4 linked regions of the Yarrowia lipolytica genome follow. The protein of the gene in region 2 purifies or fractionates together with the protein of the main gene of each other region. This does not show direct contact. Links are inferred from orthologs where the notes say so. Each region holds a gene or a part of one and is shown on either strand. Other genes may lie near its edges. The genes, in order: YALI1_A13100g, YALI1_C15021g, YALI1_D26394g and YALI1_B23609g.

The links.
Region 1: the proteins of YALI1_C15021g (region 2) and YALI1_A13100g purify together in Saccharomyces cerevisiae (affinity purification with mass spectrometry; 3 studies listed by BioGRID). This does not show direct contact. The link is inferred for Yarrowia lipolytica from reciprocal best matches to the Saccharomyces cerevisiae genes PRP8 and STO1.
Region 3: the proteins of YALI1_C15021g (region 2) and YALI1_D26394g purify together in Saccharomyces cerevisiae (affinity purification with mass spectrometry; 3 studies listed by BioGRID). This does not show direct contact. The link is inferred for Yarrowia lipolytica from reciprocal best matches to the Saccharomyces cerevisiae genes PRP8 and CWC22.
Region 4: the proteins of YALI1_C15021g (region 2) and YALI1_B23609g purify together in Saccharomyces cerevisiae (affinity purification with mass spectrometry; 4 studies listed by BioGRID). This does not show direct contact. The link is inferred for Yarrowia lipolytica from reciprocal best matches to the Saccharomyces cerevisiae genes PRP8 and BUD31.

Annotation. Positions count from the first base shown.
Region 1 is NC_090770.1:1,308,056-1,313,055, reverse strand, and holds YALI1_A13100g (uncharacterized protein), read right to left. Parts: upstream 3,054-5,000; coding exon 501-3,053; downstream 1-500. Other genes in the region: YALI1_A13095g (uncharacterized protein), read left to right, coding at 3,530-5,000. UniProt on the Saccharomyces cerevisiae protein: Component of the CBC complex, which binds co-transcriptionally to the 5'-cap of pre-mRNAs and is involved in maturation, export and degradation of nuclear mRNAs.
Region 2 is NC_090772.1:1,496,092-1,503,909, forward strand, and holds the start of YALI1_C15021g (uncharacterized protein), read right to left. Parts: upstream 6,040-7,818; coding exon 1-6,039. Other genes in the region: YALI1_C15048g (uncharacterized protein), read right to left, coding at 7,236-7,818. UniProt on the Saccharomyces cerevisiae protein: Functions as a scaffold that mediates the ordered assembly of spliceosomal proteins and snRNAs. Required for association of BRR2 with the spliceosomal U5 snRNP, and the subsequent assembly of the U4/U6-U5 tri-snRNP complex.
Region 3 is NC_090773.1:2,636,458-2,641,409, forward strand, and holds YALI1_D26394g (uncharacterized protein), read right to left. Parts: upstream 2,954-4,952; coding exon 503-2,953; downstream 1-502. UniProt on the Saccharomyces cerevisiae protein: May be involved in pre-mRNA splicing.
Region 4 is NC_090771.1:2,360,014-2,362,733, forward strand, and holds YALI1_B23609g (uncharacterized protein), read right to left. Parts: upstream 953-2,720; coding exon 509-952; downstream 1-508. Other genes in the region: YALI1_B23603g (uncharacterized protein), read right to left, coding at 174-320, 377-451; YALI1_B23622g (uncharacterized protein), read left to right, coding at 2,237-2,720. UniProt on the Saccharomyces cerevisiae protein: Involved in pre-mRNA splicing. Important for bud site selection.

The sequences.
Region 1 (5,000 bases), on a different chromosome or scaffold from region 2:
GCCAAATTTAGAGTTTATCAAAAACCCGTTTTATGTGCGTCGATTATGCATGTATTATGCACTCCACCTTGGTCTAAAATGGCAGTTTTCTCCCATCACGCCCCAGAAATGAACATAATGACAAAATAGCAATTATTAGGATGTTTTTAAATCCACCAGTATCTAACGGTGCAAATTATGGTCGTTTTTGGGTCACTTTTGGGGAGTTTCTTGGCAACATTTGTTTTGACACACATTAGGTGGGCTCACAGAAAACACAAGGGGCGTCTGGTGTAGTTGGTTATCACATGCGCTTAGCATGCGCGAGGTCCCCGGTTCGATTCCGGTGTCGTCCATCCACGTGTTCTTCATGTGACTTTTTTGCTCCGGTCGAGTACTTTTCAGTTGTGTCATTGAGCAGGGTATGTACTTTTTGGTTCTGAATACGATGTCCTACGAGCACTACAAAAACTCACAGAAACCCATCCAATCCATTTCATTTACAATTACATACCTATGTTTTATTCCTGCATTGTCTCGTCCTTGTCGTTGGACTCGGCAGCGGGTTCAGCATCCTTGGGCTCGGCAGCGGATTCAGCCTCCTTGGACTCTGCGACCTCAGCCTCCTTGGGCTCGGCAGCGGTTTCAGCCTCCTTGGTCTCCTTTGATTCGACAGCCGAGGTGGCCTCGGTGACACCCTTGGCAGCAGCGTCAGCCATGGGCTGATCCTCTTCAACCTTGGGCTCGGCGATGATCACCTTCTTCCGGGGCACAATGGGTCGAACAGCAAGATACTGGCCGACAATGTCCTTGACATTGGTGGGAACCACTTCGAGAATCTGCTCGTTCTTAATGTAATCAACGTACTTTCGAATGAGCGACTTGGTGACCTGTCGCTTCCACCATCCGAGCTGCTCCGAGTCGGAGTCCTTGACGGCCAGGTACTCGAAAACACTCTTGAAGGGTCCAACGTGATCCTGCACCTCTCCCTCCTGGGCCACCTCATCTAGAGTTCGAATCAGACACTCCCAGCCGTGGTTCTCGGTGAAAACAACATCGCCCGGCGACTCAAACAGCCAGGTGATAATAGCAGCAGGCGAAATGACGTTTTCAAGCAGCAAAAAGTGCAGAACAACGGTTCCTACATGGGGCTGGTTTCGGTAAAACTGCATGACGGTTGTCACGGCAGCAGACTCATCTTCAGCAGACTCAATCACGTGCTGGAGCTGCTGGGCAAGACGGTTAATCCAGTCCTGGGACAGAGACAGTGATCGAGAGCCAACAAAGATGGCGGCTCCGATGACAATGTCCAGTAGGAGCTCTCTGTTGTCGGGGACAGCCTCCTTGATGGAATCAATCACCTCGAGGTATGTCTCGGAGACACCCTGGTCGTACTTGTCCTTGAACACGTCCAACAACTGGTCGGCGACTTCTCTGTACTGGTTCTCAGACTCAATGTACTCGTAGGTTGGCATCAACTCGCCGTCAGTAGGCACAAACACCACAAGTTCGTCGGGGAGAGTCTCCTTGATTCGCGACTCGAATGACAGACGGAGCTCCTTCTTGATGAGCTGCTTGATAAAGACGAGCCGAGGGTCCAGAGGTTCCAGATCGACGTACTCGACCCACTCCTGCCACTTCCAGGTGAATCCAAAGTTGGACAGATGGTGCGAAAACCAGTCCAGGAACCGGTGGATTAGCTCTGTGTCAAACGACCGCAGATTGGCAAACAGGAACCGCACCGCTCGGCCGAAAACAGGGGCAATGGCCTGAGGAGCCATGATACATGCCTCGATGAACAGAGAATGAAAGTACGCAGGCTGTAGAGGAGGCGTGGCGAGCCGAAAAAGCTCTGCCAGGATGGCTTCAGACGCCACGTCTTCCACCTTGAGAGTGGAGATGGGTCTGTCGTCGGCCTTGGCATCCAGAAACTTGCCACTTAGCTTGTCTACCGAGATTCCGGGTCCCGTGAAGGTGCCCTTGTTGAGGAAAAGATCAAGGGTGAACAGCTGCTTGGCGCACTCTTTTCGGTTAAAGTCGAGATTCTGGATGGTGTCTGACAGCATGTCTCTCCACAGCACAGCGTCGTATGACTTGGGGTCTGGAACCGTGTTCATGGCCTCGCCTTCCACGTCAATGGGCATGTAGGCTCGGAAGAAGATTCTGGGGTAAATGTAGTCTGTGGAAGTGGACTCGGCCAGAGTCTCGGGAATAGAAACTGCCGGGAAAACGTGTTTCTGGGTCACCTCCTTGTTCTCCACCACAGGCTCAATCAGTTCTAACACGTTGATGAACGACTTGACGGCCCATCCGTCCTTGGCCACGGAGTTGACTCCCTCGTAGAGGTTGGCCAGGAACAGATCGCACTCGTAGGGCTTGTCGTCGCCGGTGTAGGGCTCGACGATGGGGTTCGACAGGAACTTTTCGATACCGAAATGACCGTTGGCCTTCTCCAGCAGCTGATCACAGGCCTCCACAGACTTGCCCAGAGACACCAAAGTGGATCCGATGTAGGGAAGAGTCAGAAATATGGTGGCGTACAGCTCCTCCACCAGGGGATCACGCGACTCGCTACCCTTGGCCTGGTCCCGCTCAATTGCTCGATCCAACAGTCGATCCAGGAAAACCAGCACTCCTCGTCCCTCCTCAATGGCTCCTTCGAGACAGGCCAAAAGTCGCACGGCTATCTTGACGTGGTTATAGTTGCCCTGCTTGAGCCATCCTTCAATCTTGCTGTGCAGATGCTCCACTGCCAGCTGACCTGCCAGCGAGTTGGAGGAGTTGGCCACGAGAACAATGGCTGCAACCAGCGGTGTTTTGTGGGGCTGCTCCATGATCGTGGCAATGAATGTCTCGAGAACTCCGTTTCGGATCGCCAGGTTGTCCAGATCCTGCGCAAATCCGAATCCCGCCTGAGCAACTCGATTTGTCAGAGACATTCGAGAAGGGTCGCCTATCTCGACAATGTCAAAGTACAGCCGGTCGAAGATCTGGTGCGTGGTCTGCGTGTGTCGCTGCCGTCGCCCGCCGTCATACCCGTCATCGTCATCTCGTCCTCGCTTGTTGTACGACATGATGGTTGTGTGGTTGGTAGATTGGTACAGGACTGTACTTCCACTACTACTATGTAGACAAATAATTAGAGCGCGGGTTAGGGTTGGAGATTTTCCATATAGCTTCAGGGAAGAAAGAGTTGTGTGTTCGATTCCGGATGTTGTTTTAGTGGCAAATTAAAATTATGATTAAAATTATGAAGAAAATATGAAGAAAAAAATTGTGAAAAAAAAAATTGAAAAAAAAATTGAAAAAAAAACTAAAAAAAAATACAAAATGAAAAACTACAGATGATGCACCATGACCAGTATGTACACAAAAAAGTGTTACTTGGATATACACTTGTTGAATGGAAGGGCTTTACCCACTCACTACCCCCCCCCCCCCCCCCCCCCCAAATATTCACACCATTTATATAATTGATAGTCTGTTTACGTGATACATGTTTTCTACCTAAACACGAGATCGATCTTGAACTGCTACAACACACTATCCCATGCTGGGCTTCAAATCCACTTATGCGGAATACCTGGAGTTCAACGATGATCTCAACGCATATCTGTCGACTCTGGGAAATGAGGCGCTGTGGCTGAAGCGGTGCTCGGTGTCTCTGGTGTCCACCCTGGCAGCCCGACATGTCTTGTGTCCCATCAGCGACAACGATACCGACGAGACGCTGATTCGGCTGGCTAGCTTCATGGGAGCCAGCAACAGTGGTGGCCAGAAACAACAAAAACAGTCTTTGCAACCGGCTTCCTCAGCTTCCAAGTTGATACTTGTATCGCGCAAGATCAAAGAGTACATCTTGACCAGGACAGACCCCCAGCTAGGCGACATGCTGAAGGGCATCTCCGAGCCAATCGACATTGCTACGACCATCGAAAAGACCTTCAAACTGCGCCGACGACGCGAGGTGAGGACGCTGTTCTCCGAAACCCTGGACCGAATCAGTACTCTGAGGATCAAACGCGACAAGCGTGGCCTGGCTATTTTCGTGCAACGCAACCTCGACAAGTTTCGACGACTCAATGTGTCCTTACTGGACGGATGCAACGCCCTGCTGAACGTGGACAACATCGAAGAGTTTGAGTGGGTGGGCGAGTACGACTCTCTAGATAGTTTCGAGACCATGTTTGTGCCTGAACACATGGAGACCCAAGAGGAGGCCCCTGTGGCGCCCATGAACGCTCCCACGGAGACATGCGATAAATCTCCACCAACTGATAAACCCTCAGCACCGCAGACATCCATCACCGGCGCCACTTTGGCTGTAGCTGTCTCAGACTCGGACCGGAGTGCTTCGGGAGAACAACCTGCGACTCCTTCTGCTCCTGTTGCTGCTACACAACCGCCCTCGGGTACATCTTTACCACCAATACCAATCGGAGCTCAAACTGCAAGCTCAAGTACAGGCCCAGCTGCATCTTATAGCTCCGCCATACCTCCCCCTAGCAGTGGAGCAGCGTCCTTGTCTCGAAGCAGTACACCTGCTTCCATACCCTCTGCATCACCTGCTCCTCCTCTCGACCCATCTTCCCCCACCTTGTCCCAGGGAACGCCGCCATCCATTCCCCCTGCCCTAGAAGGCGGCAACACTCGTACAATGAATGAAGCTCTCGTCGAGCGAACCATTGCTCTGCGAGAAGCCATACGCAGAAGCAGAATTCCGCCCACAGCTCCCGCAGCCCATGTGCGACCCTCTGCCGCAGTCCCTCCGGGTGCCGACGTGCTCCGTGCTTCCATTGACAACCTCATAAACCGTCGACTGCACTTGGGTACAATCATGAGCAAAACAACAGACCAGACCGAAAAGAAGAAGTTGAAAAAAGAACGCAGACAGATGCATCTTGCCATTCGAGATGCCGAAGAGTTTCTGGACAAGGTCTGCGCTGCTCGTCCAGATACTATGAACCATGCTGTTGACACGATACCCGCGACTACTACCATTGCTGGTCGAACAACGCCGA
Region 2 (7,818 bases):
GAGAGCTCGAGACCGCCACTCAGTCTTGCTCTGAAACACCTGCTGCTCGTAGTTGGACGTGGTTACCACCACCATTTCGTCTCCATGCACGTTTTGAGACTTGGTCTTTAGTGCAGTCACCTGAGAGTCTGTCTTGTTCTCCTCAATGTCCTGCAGCTCCTGACGCTTTTGAGAAGGTGCTTTGATCTCCTGGCCCAGAATAATATCTCGAATCTCGTGCTGAGTCAGCGACTGGATGTTCACATTGTTCTTCTTGCCGTAGTCGTTGAGAATCATGTCTCGCAGCTGATTCTCCACGTGCACCCACTGATCTTCTGAGAAGGAAGGCCACATGTGATGGTCAAGAGTCACAACCGTGTGATCGGGACGCAGAATGATCTTTGTCTTCTCATGGTTGACATGCATACCTCGCAAAATGAGAACCAGACGAGCAAAGGCAGTGTAACTGGAAATTGACTTGAGCCAATCGTCAAAGAGATTGAAAATAACCATCTGCGACTCAGTTGCTTTGAGAATCAGATCTCCGAGCTTCTCCACCTGCAGAGCAGACTTGAACGGCAGCTGGAGCTCCGACGGCCGGATGACCGTGTTGGGGAACTCAAACAGCTGCTGCTTCAGCGGCTCAACAATACTCTTTCGAGTGACAATCACCTGTTTGGGCTGCTCTTCCTTTGGAAGAGATCGGATCAGAGCAGCCACCTCTTCGGCCGCCTTCCATTTGGCCAGCTGAGACAGACGCTTCTGACCGGCCCAAGTGGACGTGTGAACCACCTTGAGGAACAGCTGACCGGTCTTGGGGTTCAAAATGAACACAGCACCGTTAAGAGGCTTGTTGGTAAAGTTGCCCTCAAAAGTGGTATGAGCAGCGGCTCGGTAGACGTTCGAATCGTCCACGAAGAACTGCACCTCGTTGTTGAATAACTCCTGGTAGTTTTGCGAGTTGAGGAACGCTTCCTGCGGCTGCGACTGATACAGCTGCAGGCCCTTTCGGATTCGTTCTCGCAGCACAAACAATGCAGGGTTGGCCTGCATGATTTTGGACATGGCAGGACGCATGAGCTGTTTCAGACCGGGGAACCAGTTGCCATAGGCGTCGTACATGTTGTACGCAAGATCAATGCCAACCATGGCTCCAACAGGCGAGGGGTAGACAGACACTCCGTCGGTGGTGTACTCCAGAAACTTGGCTCGAGTGTACCGACTGATATCGTGCGAGTCGTAGTCTCCGTATCGAAGCTGCACGTCCAGCCAGAACTCGGACGTTTGAGCGAAATCCATGGAGTCGGACGAATCGTTCAACAATGAAGGCTTGCAAACGTTCCACTTGTAGGCCGACTTGAGCACAATATCAGCACACGAAGAGTTCATCTTGTACGACTTTCGAGGATGAATTTGTTCCTTTCGAGTCTCACTAATCTGCAGCGTCTCCAGCTCTCGATCAAGCACCTGACAGATATCAAGCACCACCGACTCGTGGATTTTCTGCCACAAATGGGCCCGGAAAATCTGAATCAGCGAAATCTTGAGCGTGGGGATTTTACCATGCAAAAAGATACCCGTGAGATCCAGCTGTACCAGGAAACCAACGTAGACATTGGCTCGGTTGATGGTAGGAGACCACCAGAGAGTGAAGCGTCGATTGGGAATCTGGTTGAGACCAGACCGCTGGGCGTTGGTCAGCTTCTTGAGCTTGAGTTGGTCCTCGAAGCCAGCGGCCTTCTCCCAGAAGAGACCTTCCCAGTTGTCGAAACCGGTACCCTTGAACAGAGTGTGTTCCAGAATCGTCTCAATGCCACCCAGTGCCTGGATGACGTCTGTTCTGTATGTATTCAGCGACCACAGCTTACCGTCATGACGCTGAGACGTCCACCAAAAGGGGTTGACTCTAGGGATGGAGAACTGTCGGAACTCCGTTCGCACACGGTGACCCTTATCGTAGGCCAGCGTATGTCTGTCCTTCTGGAACAATGTGTTGATTCGAGGCAGACCTCGGTCCCACGAGTCCTCTAGATCCTCCAGAGACAGACGCCGGTTCTCGGCCTTGGCCTCGGCTCGTTTGGACGCATACTCGGCCCACACACGCTGCGAGTCGGTGAACTCTGCCTCCCAGGTCGTCAAGTACCGGAAAATATTTGGAATGATCTTGTCTTCGCCGTGAACATGAGTCATACCAGCTCGGAAGTGGGTAATGCCGCCCTGATCAGACTGCTTGGACCACCGCAGATCACTGGCAGGGATCAGAATGTGAGAAGCAGAAAACATACCCAGACCACCAAGCTCCTTGGGGGTGTAGAACACGGCAGGGGGGAAACGAGTTGGCATTTTGGAGTTGAGGCCAATCTTGACACGAGTTTGAATCTTGGTCTCGCATTTGACCAGGGTGTCCAGAAGCTGCTCAGTGGCGACAGCCGCCTCTCGATAATACGTGAACAGCGAAATCAGAGCAGTGTTCCACTTGTTGGCAATCTTCGTGAAGGTGGTGGAACCAGACGACATGAGAATCTGTCGAATTCTGTTGTTGAACCGCGCAATATCGGCATCAGAGACGCGCAAGAAAGCATACGCAGTTCGCTCCTTGGTAGACTCGTTGGTGAGGTTCCAGACAGAGTCCTTGACGGGCACAGACGCCACAGTTCGACACTTGGGCAGGATTCGAACCTCAAAACCGCACATGGAAAACAGCAGATTGGGGTTTTCGCTGGAGTAGACAGAGACAAACGACTCAGACCACTCAATGGACGTCATGGCTCGAGGGAGTCGGTTCTGAATTTCCCAAAACGCGGCGCGTGCAAGATTCACGTCGGACCGCATGAGCCGCATTCGAGAGTCACGCGGCCAGCACTTCTTAGTAGGGAAGTTAACCACGTTTTCAAAGTTGGGGTCCGGGTGCTCAGTCAAGAACCGATGAACCAAATCCGAAGACTCGTCCTTAGTAAACCGGAAGAGGATGTGGATTCGGTCAATGTACCGAGAGTACGCTCTGATAGGATGGTCCGTCTCCACAGCGACGGAGGGGTATTGCATGAAGTAGTTGGGCCGTTTGGGATCACCAGCCATCTGAGACGCTCGAGTGAGACCCAGGATGAGCAAGTCAGCAACGAGACCATAGTACTGAACCACAAACGACGAGAACTGCAGACCTCGCAAAAGACCATAGTTGTTGGTGTGAGACATGTCTTTGTAAGTGAGCCGGACGTTGTTCTTGGCAATGATGTACTTGGCCAAGTTCTCGTCCATGATCAACCGGAGCAGATACTGCAAAAAAGTAAAGTCAATCTTCTCCCAGATCTTGCTCAGAGAAGTCTCCAGCATGACAGTCGATTCTCCAGCGTCAGTCTTCCAAATGTTGTCCAGATTGTTGATGCCCTGGCACCACTTGTACACGAGCAAGGGAGGCACTTCCGAATCACTAGGCTTGATCCAGTTGGGGAAGAGGCCATTCTTGTCACCCTCATACCACAGATACTGGTCCAGATATGCGTCAGCAATCTTCTCGGTGGGGTCAATGTCGTACACGGGAGTCACGTGAGAGTAGTGATCCATCATCTCCAATCCCACGTCCTTGAAACCCTCGTTACGCACAAAGTTCTCCTTCACCTGTCGCAGAGTCTCATGAGGATTGTCATAGGCCTGTTCTATGTACGCCATTTCGTCTCGCTGGCTCTGGTTGAGACGTCCCTTGGAGTTGAAGCCCTCCTTCATACCCTCCAGCGCCAACACCAGCAGCTTGGTGTCGTGCTTGTAACTGGCAGGAGGCATGGAGATGGTGGAAAAGTTTCGTGACTCTAGCCAGTTCACCATCATCTGCTGGATGGCCCGTGCGTCATTACCGTCCCAGTATGGGCCGTCTCGCAGGAAGTTTTGTTGTCTCTCCTGCTCGGACTTGAGCCACAGACGAGTCAGACGGCCGAGATTCTTCTTGGCAAGCGTCTTGTCCACAGTGGCGCCTCGGTTGATTCGCTCTCGGTTGTAGTGAGCAGCAGCCATCCAGCCCTCAGCCTTGGCTTTGACGTAACGTAAGATAATGTTCTCGATGGGGGCAGGCATACCAGGCACCTTCCACGGCACGTTGGCCTTCCAGCACCGCCAGGCCTCAGATAGATGCTGCAGAACAGTCTTGGTCTTGGCCTCCTTGATACCCTCAGGAATCATGTCCAGAATATCCTTGAGAACCGACGCTCGAAGCTCGAGATCGTAGGAAGATTCGACTCGCTGCTTGGTGATAGTCTTGGCAACGCCCTTGGAGTGACGACCCTCAAACTGACGCGCCAGAAGGTTTCCCAGCCACCGCTCAAGAAGGGGGATGATTCCACGGAGGAAAAATAGCCACACCCGCCAGGCAGGCTGCCAGAAACCACAGCCAGGACCCTTACCGATAACGACGTTGAACCTGTAGTAAACCACGTGCTTCAGATCCTTACAAGTTCGAATCTGGTGCATCACCTTGTACTTGTATCGATAAATACCGGTGAGCTGGCCCAGGTGGTTCAGGGTGTAGTAAATACCATCGGCCAGCTGGAAGGCGTCGACATTACCGAGTCGGAATTGAACCTGAGCGTCCACAAGGATTTTAACCACTCGCAGAATCTCACGCATGAGGTGGAAGGCATTTCCAAACCGAGACTTCTTTCGCTCCTTGGTAGTAAGTGTCTTTGTAGGCTTCAAATTGAAGTTGTAGTCCAAATGCAGGTATGTGAGACCCTTTCTGTGAATCAACAGGTTAAGCATGTTGAAACCCTGTCGACAAAGCTGTAAACCAGCTTCCACCCAGTCAATTTCCGTCTGCTGGAAAAACTTTGTGTTTCTCAACGACTTCAGCAATCCACGCTTCTTTTGAGTGACTGTAGACTGAGAGGTCAGAGACGTCAACACGTACGACTTCAGTAGCTTCTGGTAGGAAACTCGCACCTTGATGGGGTAGCCCTTGGGAGGATGCTGCAGGTACCAATCCTTGATAAGAGCCACGTCCTGAGCACGCACAGTAGGACCGGAACGTCGATCGAAGGGACTGGGAGCATGGTAGAGAGCCAGAGCTGATGAAAGCTGCTCGTTGACAAGAGGAACAGACTCCAGGGGAGGTGCGAGAGGTCCAAGATCTTCGGAGAGATCAACGTCCACATTATTATCGATCTTCGACCTCGTGATCGGAGCCAACTTGGGATCAAAGTAGTAAGGAGGCAGATCAGGATCCTCAGATTTGACAACAACTTCCTGAGGGTACGAGTACGTCACCAGTTCCACCTTTCGAGGCATGGAGTTGTACACATGGGGGAATGCCACCTTGTGTTCTGTGGTGATCATGTTTCGCACAATGATTCTGTCGATGGCATTGAACTCACCAAAGTCCTCATTGTCGGGATCCAGGTCTTTGTAGAGAGGCTCAAACTTTGGACCTCCCGGAATTGCCATATTCAGAGCCTTGGCGGTGTAAAAGGCTTTTTTGTCAAACAGGTAAAAGTAGTTGGGGTCGGTAACATCGGGAAGAAGAGGAGTGGCAAGTCGATAGAGAGTGGTCAGCTGCTCAACACTCAGTCTGTACGACCGGTAGGAGGGCCCGTTGACCTTGAGTCCGTCCTCGAACAGCGGTCTGTGCTCGTAGAACCAATCCACCACTGCTGAGTCATCCACGGGACTCAGGTCCATCAAAATGCCCTCTGGGGGCTCAACATCCTGAATGTTTTCTGCCCAAGAAATCGGAGGCTCTTCGTCGTCAAAAGGAGGGAATCGCATTCGTTTGAAGTGTCGTCGGTCTCGTTTTTCTCGTCGCATCATCACCCACATGGTTGCCCATTGGGCTGTGTACACCTGAGGCACGACTCGGGGGATCTCGTTCACGAAAGTGATGGCACCAGAAATGTGGTACAGCACCTTCACCTCTCGAACGGCCTCCCAGGGCTGGGGCATATTCTCCAGCAGCTTGATCACACCGTGGGGCATGAACTTGAGAGCTCCGAGGTAAGCTCGTTTGTCGGACGCAAACTTGCGCGAGCTCATATCTCCATGGTCCTTGATGAGTTTTCGCAGGTGCTCCGGAGGCATATCTGCCTTGGACGAGTGCACAAACGTCGACTTGCCGGACTTGTCGGCAAACTTGCGCTTCTGCAGCTTGAGCCATCGCTTCTTTCGGGCTTGTAAGAGAGACGATCGTGAGTCCTCAGCAGGTGGAGGAGGTGCACCTGGAGGAGCTCCCGGAGGAGGTGGAGCTCCGGGAGGGGGTGGAGCTCCGGGAGGAGGTGGTGCTCCCGTGGGGAAGCCTGGTGGCGCCCCTGGTGGTCTGAGACCTGGAGGGGGTGGTAGTCCAGGTGGCACTGTGTTAGTAAACGAAAGCAAGGGTAGGAGGTCTGAACGGACCCCATAAGCGAATCAAACCGATGGTGTGACAACTAATGACGTGGCAATTTGATGAGTGGCAAACACAACCACGTAGTAAATACGCTGATGGTCTGGTGCCCATGTCGTCAAGAGTCTCTTCATGGTATGTGACATGACATGATCTGAACCAGAAACAGCTCAGTATCGAATATCCCCATCGATGACGTGGCACGTTCACGCATCTCGGCTGGTTATATCGCATGACACAACCACCGTCGCACTCTCGGTATCCACATCCAGCCCATGTCCATATCATGTAGGTCGGTGTTGATGTCATTGCTGAGGTGTCTCCATTGGCGCCGTGTGGTGGCCGGGCGGTTCTTCTGCCACCAAACAATGTGCCACTTCCATCTGCGCCACTTTTGCGCGCTCGTACTCACTCTTGTATCAACCTCTAGAGCTGATCAGGCGATGTGAATGTGTAGATTGGAAATGATTTTTGAGTTTGGAAAAAAGGTGTTTTGAATTTGCTGCAGGCTAAGCGGATATTGGGATGATTTAATCTGGGAATAAAAGACAAAAAACTTGGAATAAAAGATAAAAAACTGGGAATGTTGAAAATATTCAGATTTATTTGATTAAAACAGGTGGAGATGAAGAAGAGTCTTTGAAACTGTTTGGGGGACTTTCAGAGTCCCTTCGAGGGTGAAGAAATGAAACATTTCCACAATGACCAGCAGTTTTCTTGGGGTTGCTAAAGCGGTTGGATATAGACACACACGGACTGGTACTCCAGTGATATTGCCGACTTCAAGAACTTGTACGACATTGGAGACTTGCTAAATCGTCACACAACTGCCAATACTTCACTTGTACAGCACTTGTACCCGTGCCAGCCTGCTCTAAATATATGCAATAATCTATCACTGACCCCTAAGAGACTCCTTGAGATAGCGAGGCCCACTTTTTCTTCTCAACTCCTTGCCCCAGATGATCATGGGAACTGTGAGAATCAACGGAACGAGCGAGAAACAGCCGGCCATAATGTACACGTTCTGAAGACCCATCCTTTCCTCCCATGGACCCAAACAGAAGATGATGACCATGGCCAGTCCGTTTCTGACCACAATCACGCCAATGAAGGCGTCAGCAACAATCTTGTCGTAGCAGTCGAGCAGGTAGGTCACGACTATGGCTCCTGATGATCCGAATCCGAACATAATGATGGCAAAGCCGATTGTGGGGACCATCCAATGCACTCGGTTGGCCAGAGATGTGCCAAACAGAAAAACGCCCACTGTGAGCGAAAAGTTGGCAAATACGAGACTGTAGAGTCGAAACTCCGGCTCGTATATGCCTTTGTTTCTGTTGGACAGCCATATGATGGTCTTGTCGTTGAACCAGCCTCCAAAGACAGATCCGAAGATCATGCCGACGAAGGGGGCAATGTTGACGTTGCCAATAGCTGCGGAGGAGAAATTGTATGGTGGCAGCGCGAAAGAATTG
Region 3 (4,952 bases), on a different chromosome or scaffold from region 2:
TACCCTGCTCTTGTTGGGTCCGGAACAATAGTCAAAGGCAAATGTCACATTTGAGTTCACACACTCTCCTGCCAGTACATACTGTACATACGTGCACTATGACAGGTCCGTGTTCGCGCGGAGGGTCTGAGGGCGGCGCTGGTGGCGTTTAAGAATTGGCGCACAAGATACTCACTGTGTGTGTTTGTGATCGTGGCCTATCATTGCGGAACACGCCCGTCTATATATACTCTTCTGTAGAGACACACGGACCCCGTGATGGTGCTTAGCAATCGCAGAGAGTCAAAACTGTTTAAGCCAACGGAAGCTTATTTTAGGTGAAATGCGCTAATACCCGGTTGTAGCCGTAAAAAGCGGTTGTTGGTTGGACGGGCGGAAAATGGGGTAAATGAGAGGGAAAAAATTCAACAAACAGACAGAGACGAGAAGGAATTAAAAAAATACAGTATCAATTACATCTACCTGATGGCGCGGGGGGTGCGGGGGGTGCGGGGGGCGTGTGTTAGAACAAATCACTGGCGCGCACTCGCTTTCGAGGCGGCGAAAGACCTTTCTCCGGAGTAGGAGCACGGCCCTTGTTGGGGCTTCTACAAGGACTTCTAGAAGGACTTCGAGAGGAACCTCCAGACACGCTTGGAGACCTGCTTCTAGAATAACCAACTCGTCTGACCGGAGATCTCGACCGCGAATAACTGGCGGCCCGGTAACTGCTCCGGCCTTTAGCCCCTTTAGATTTAGGTCTCGGAGATGGCGATCGGGAATAAGATCTCGAACGAGAGTATGACCGCGAAGGCGAACGGGAATAAGATCGAGACCGCCGTCGACCACGAGGCGGAGAACCGGTTCTATCCCGAGATAGAGATCTTGACCGTGACCGGGATCGTGGCCGGGATCGTGGCCGTGACCGCGAACCAGGAGACCGAGTTAGCGACCGCCTTCTACTTCCTACACCTCGTCGTCGTCGTCGCCCCCGATCATCCTCAGACACTGAGTCATAGGAGTCATAGGAGTCATAGGAGTCATAACTATCGTAGGAGTCGTAACTATCGTAGGAGTCGTAGGAGTCGTAGGAGTCGTAGGAGTCGTAGGAGTCGTATGAGTCATAACTGTCGTATGAATCGTAACTGTCGTACTCTCGCTTCTGCTCTTCCTCCTCCTTCTTCAGCCTCTCCTCCTCCTCCACCAGACCAGGAAGAATCTCCCGCATACCATCTGTCAAAGGACCAAGATTAATGGCAGTGAAATAGTTGATGGCAAACCGAACATGAGAAGCATTCGTCTTGGGGAACATACCGGCAATGTACTGCTGCACAAACGACTTGGAAAGTCGCTCCTTCAACAGATCCATTCCCAGCTCCTGACGCATCTCGGTGAACATAATCTTGAGAAAGATACGGTTCGAGGGGTTCGAGTCCTCTTCAGTCAGAGAAACAGCCTCCAAAACCTTCCACGACAGAGAATCTGATGCCAACAGGTACCCAAAGAACGTGGCAATGTTTCTGATCTGATTGGGCTCGTATCTGTGGATAACCGAGTAAAAGAACCCAAAGGTGTTCTCAAAGTTGGTTCTCCATTCCCGCGACAGTCTCAGAAGCCGCTCTCCTGTACCTCCGTAGATTTTGTTATAAATCTTCTCTTGAGCACAACACTCCACAAGCATGTTCGTCACCTCCTGGGTCCGCTTGAGACGCAGAATCAGAGCCTGGTCTTCGGGGAGACCCTCAGGGATCTCAATAACCGTTCGAGACAGCTTGACAAGCTTGTGAACGATTTCGTCGATCGACATGGTCGACATGACCGTCAGATAAATTTTCTTTCGCAACGTAGCAAGCTCTGTACCCGTGAGGTCTCGCACAGCCGAGGTAGAGGCTTGAGCCTCCTCCTCTTCATCCTCCTCCTCCTCCTCTTCATCATCTGCCTCTTCCTCGGCTTCACTATCATCTTCCTCTTCGTCGTCAGAGTCTCCCAGGATCTCCTTTTTCAGCAAATCGTACTTCTCCTCGTTGGCCTCGTAGTCAGGGTCCATAACAAAGTAGTTGAGCAGCTTATCATCTGTAAACTTGTCGTCCAAACCCGTCATATGTGTCACATAGTCCTCCTCGTCTACCAGGTCCAGTTCTTCTTGAACCACAGGGTAGTTTTCGTAGCCGTCTTTTCTGATCTGGAACAGCGTCTCGATCATGTACTGCGTTCGTTTTTCCAGCTCGCCATCATGCAACACAGCTCGAAGACGCTCAAATACTCCGTTGTTGGCAGCAGGCGAAACTTCGGCCAAAAAGGCACCGGACTCCTTGATGAAAGCCACAGCAACCTCGACAGAGTGATCTGTGGGGGTCTCAAGCAACAAATGCAGCAACTGAAGCACTAGAACCTCATGAGCAACATGGTAATTGCACAAATGCGCCAGAAACGTCACACTTGACAAACACACGTCCTTCTGATTACGCTTGTAGCCCCGTCGAAATTGCAGAATGAGTCGTCGCACAAGCAGCTCGCCAACCTGAGGTAGCTTGGAGTTGACAATGGCCGTCAGACAGGCGTAGACAGGCGTATAGGGCAGAGCAAGACTCTGGGCGGTCATGACACTTCTACAGAACAGCCCACGTCCTCGGATGAGATTATGAGTGAAAATCTCCCCCGCAATATCTCGAATGTTCTGAGCACTGACCTTGTTCACCAGCGAGTTGATTGCCTTCTTGAGATTGTCAAACTGGATCTTCTGGAACTCCTTGGACGTCTTATCCTGGACCAGCAGCTTCTGAAGCGCTCTGATTTTAGCAGGAGGAACGTATCGGCCTCCAGACTTTAGCTCCATGAGTTTCTTGAGCTCTTCTGCCGCTGCCTCCAAGTCATCTTCTGGGTTCTTTACTTTTTTTTCCAGTGCCTCTTCAGAAGGATCCCCCTCCTCCACATCCTCCACAACATCCTCAGAAGTATCCTTCCTGTCCTCCATCGAGACATTGCGTTCCTTGTCGTTTGTACTTTCCTTGTCGTGAGTACTTTCCTTGTCGTTCGTGCTATCCTCCCTCTTGACAGTCACATCCTCCACCTCCCTAGGGGCCAAGGGGCTTCTGTCATCATGGCCTCTAGGGCCATCTTTGCGTCGTCCATCACCTTCCCTTCGTGACCTCCGGCTTCTGCGACTGGTTCTGTGTCGGCGCCGCTTCCTTCGGGGCGACCGAGATGGAGAATATGACCTGGACCGAGATCGTGACGGGCTTCTCGATCTGTCGCCACGATAACTGCGTCTCCGGAGGGATCGAGAATCGGAATGGTCACGCTTCGAGTCACGTGTTCGGGCTCCTTTCACGTGTTCGGCCCTTTTCACGTGTTCGGCCCTTTCACGGTGATTGACTCCTTTCACGTTCCGCGTTCTTTATCACTCTGCTGGTTATGTGTTGTCGGTTGACTGTCTTCTGTTCGTGCTTTGAATGTATTTCTGTATGTACGGTGGAAATATTTCAGTTCAATATCGTTGCATGAGGTAAATTGCCGTTAGAGTTACTAGGTGTTAGTTGGAGTGACCTAAGTATAATTGGGAAGTCAAAAAATAAATAAAAATAAATAAATAAAATAAAAAAAAAAAAATAAAATGTTAACTAATTTTGGCGCGAAATGGGCCCGATGAAGATGAAATTCAAAAGGAAACTCGTACTATCCTTCAGCTACAACTTGTACTTGTTCAAGTACCAGGTGAGATTTTACCCTTTGAGCGTCTTTTTTCTTGCACTATTTACTTGTATTAGTATTCACGAAAGTAACCCGAAGTAAAGTCGATCTCAAGTAATATATATCTGTTGTCTTTTGTTCTGATTTTCCGATTCAATCCGATATATTTTGATTTATTCTGACTTTCTGATTTAAAATGGCGATTCTATTATATATAGAGAAATATATATATATATACTTTCAACGTGAGTATACTTGTCCCAAAAGTGCAATATATGGCGGCTTTCTCAAGGTCTAAAATGAGCGTATAATATATCATTTTAGTCGCATAGTGCTCCTAATCACATTCCCGTATATATATATTTTGCCCCATCTCGTCCCAGTCCCGTCTGACCCGGCTTCAGTCGAAAAACAGCCTTCCATGCTTCCAGTCAAATGTTCATTCTCTTCGGACAGACTTGTGTGATGTCCATGTATTGATGACAAGTATTATTGATTAGATATAGTTAATTAACAAACTCACAACCCTTTAGGGACACCACGTTCCGATAGTAGCACACACCCTTCGGTGTGTGCGTGCTTTCTCCATTCACCAAAAGAGATTCTAGATCAGAGAACTATCTAGAGGATTGGACGTTCTCGTCTACGACCAAAGCTGGTCCTCTCATCACTATGTTGACTTTCATCATTATGTGGGGAAACTAGCCAGGTATTACCTTACCGGGTATTACCTTCAACACCATGGCCATTTTCGTGTGTACATGTTCTGAAGAGGACTTAGCCGCCGGCAAAAACCCACACAACTCGCGCAAATCGCACGATACGAGAAATCGGATAAGCCCAACACACTCCTTGTGTCCAGGAGCACCGTATTCTGAGGTCAAAATGCTGAAAACGACCGTGCCTCCTCAAATCACAGGGGTTCATCGTTTATGAACGGCATCAAATAACGTTTCCTTTTTATGTTCGAAAAACATGAACTCGGGCCAGTACAAGTACACTGTGGCTTATGTTTACCCTCATTATCTCACGTCTAGCAGTTGTAAGACATGTTAGGGCGATCATTCCCGAAACGGACGATATTATCCGAACATATCCTGATTACTCGAACATGTCCTGACTTCTCGAACATGTCCTGATTACTGAAAATGTCCTGATTACTGAAAATGTCCTGACTACTTGAACATGTCCTGCTACTCGAACATGTCCTGCTACTCGAACAAGTCTTCATACCATTCACATGTCAACAAGGCCAGTATAGAAACGTCCACAAGTACGTACAC
Region 4 (2,720 bases), on a different chromosome or scaffold from region 2:
CACCTTGCAAATCAGGTGGGCAGGTGGAGACATTGAAACATTGAAACATTGAAACATTGAAACATTGAAACATTGAAACTCGGCAAAGATCATGTTTCCCATCACAGTCGTCTACATCATATTCCAGGGCCTATACGTTCTCTACTGGAATCATCCCCAGTCCATAAGTTATATTACAAAGTCTTAACGGTATCCTTTTTCCTTCTCTTGGAGTTCACCCATTGTCTCCGGGACGGTATGAGCCCAAGGAGATCCGTCTGTCGGTTGGTCGGTGGTACTTGGCTGTCGTATCCTCCAGCTGCGAAAGATACTGGCACAAACTTTGACAGACTGTATCATGATACTCAGTAACTAAGCCCTGTACCAATAGTCAGACAATGGTAGCTGTTGTGCAGCTGCCAAACCTGATAATGCTGTATCCCAGTCTTGGGACTCTCGTTGATTCACTCATGGCTGTGACTCGAGGCTGCGACTAGTGGCTGTGATTCACTGCTCATTCACTCGTCGATTAATCACTCGAAGCACAACCCCGACACCCACAAGTCACACACTCCACCGGCTTGTCATCCTTGATATCCTTTCGAGGAACCCGACAGATACAAGTTCCTTCGTGAATGTTCTCCTTTCCTTGAATGCACCTCAAACAGCAGAGATTCTCGTATCCCTGCTTTCGCCACTTGGCAATGAGATTCTGATCGGCATACCCCTTCTTCAGAAGATATGCATACAGCTCTTTGGTGATGGCCTCCTTCTTGTAATACAACTCATAGACATATCGAGACCGCTGGTGATGGATGCGATAAATGTCCCATAACAACTGGTTCTTTTTCTTTCCCTCGGTTGGAGCGTTTTGGGCGTCTTTTAGCTTGTCTCCAAACTCCTGCAGAATATCGGAGATGTCGTCAAATCCAGCTGGAGGCGCTTTCGATCGTGAAGTGCGGATTTTCACCATTTTGTGCGGTGTCTGATGATGCTTAGTAAGGTTTCAGGTGGTATCTGGCGCCCCTTTTTCTCTTCGATCAATATCCAGGTGGTGGCGTTGTGGATGTGATGTGATGGTCGATAAATGCAGTTGGAGTTTCGTGTCGCGTCAGGGGTTTCGATCGGCTCCCTTATGGTGTTTCACGTGATTTAGGTATCGCCGAGTCCGTCACGTGTTTGTGCTTTCTGAGGTTCGGATCAGAATTTGCTGTTTTGGTTGTTTTGGAAAGTGGTGATGATTTTTTGGAGGTTGGTTTTTTTGCTGCAGCTAAAATGCATTTGAGTTACATAGGGGGAAAACAGGGGTGGATCTAATGTAGCCAATAATGGAGCTATTTGAGTGATTTTTGGCCCATTATCTTCTTAGAGTGACTGTAATGCTACAGTAAGAATTTTAGCACCTGATCCCATACAAATATACCCAGTTGTGACGGACCTGACTCTCATGCAGTGAAGCTATTATCAACAGAAAATTTCTGATAAGGTACTGACGTCAAAATCATTGGTGGAAGAGGAGAAAATGAGGCTACAGACGGTATCATTGCTGTTGACATCTTCTCTGAAGTGTGTCCGATTGTTCCAGTTTCCTCTCCCTCTCTTTCTTCTAGACTTGCTGTTTCTGCTGTTTTCGCCACCCAAAGCAACCGAACATGACTCAGTGGGTGAATTGAAGAGATAGCCCTATGATATTCATATTTGAAGTTATATATACAACACTTTTTGGCTACATTTCCAATTGTTGAACGTCTATCTAATAGCACTATTCCACGCGCCCAATGTTTAAGTAATTTTCCAAGTAATAGTGAGTAACTCTATTGGTCCCCAACTACAGTCCCATCCCTCTCCCCACAACCTCCATATAAAACACCCAATAATAGTCCAATAGAAAATCCAATTATATCTGAAAACTCTTCCCATTCCTCTGATTCTGATGATATCAAAATCTCCCCCAAATTGTTACTTTTCCACTTTGTCGCCACCCTCCCCCAACTCCCAAACTCAACCCCTATATTATCCAGCAGTAGAAAAAAGTACACTTCTGCACTACACCATCACGGGATCAGACTAGGCGTAGTCAGACGCCGCCCCACGACGTTACGGCCGAGCCCGGTTAAAAACACGCCCCCCTCCCATTCAAAGGTAACCACGGCAACGCAGCGCCGACACAGACAACAGCAATTACAACACGGTATTAGTCATCACAGCAACCCATCCAGCGGACTCACAACAACAGTGACATAACACTAGTGACGCAATGTTACCGCAATATCTCATCAACGTGGCGACATGGTCGACGTTTATCGCCATTTTCATCTCGACAATATCCATTCTCCTACAACTCTACACATACACCCGTCCCGCTGACCAGCGGTTGGTGATTCGGATTCTGTTTCTGGTTCCTCTATTTGCGCTCTCGTCATGGCTGTCTCTTCTGGAGACCCAGGACCAGATTTCCAGACCTCTGGCCCGCTTCAACATTGTGCTATCAGCTCTCAAAGAAATCTACGAAGCCTTCACCCTCTACACCTTCTTTTCGCTGCTTACCAATCTGCTCGGCGGCGAACGAAACATCATTTTCACCACCCAGGGACGAGCTCCTCTCCACACTCTGTTTGGAAAGGTCAACATTTCCGACCCTCACGAATTTCTGACCGTCAAACGAGCGGTACTGCAGTACGTGTGGATCAAACCAGTGATTTCTGTGGCCATCTTTATCTGCAAGATTCTGGGAGTCTACA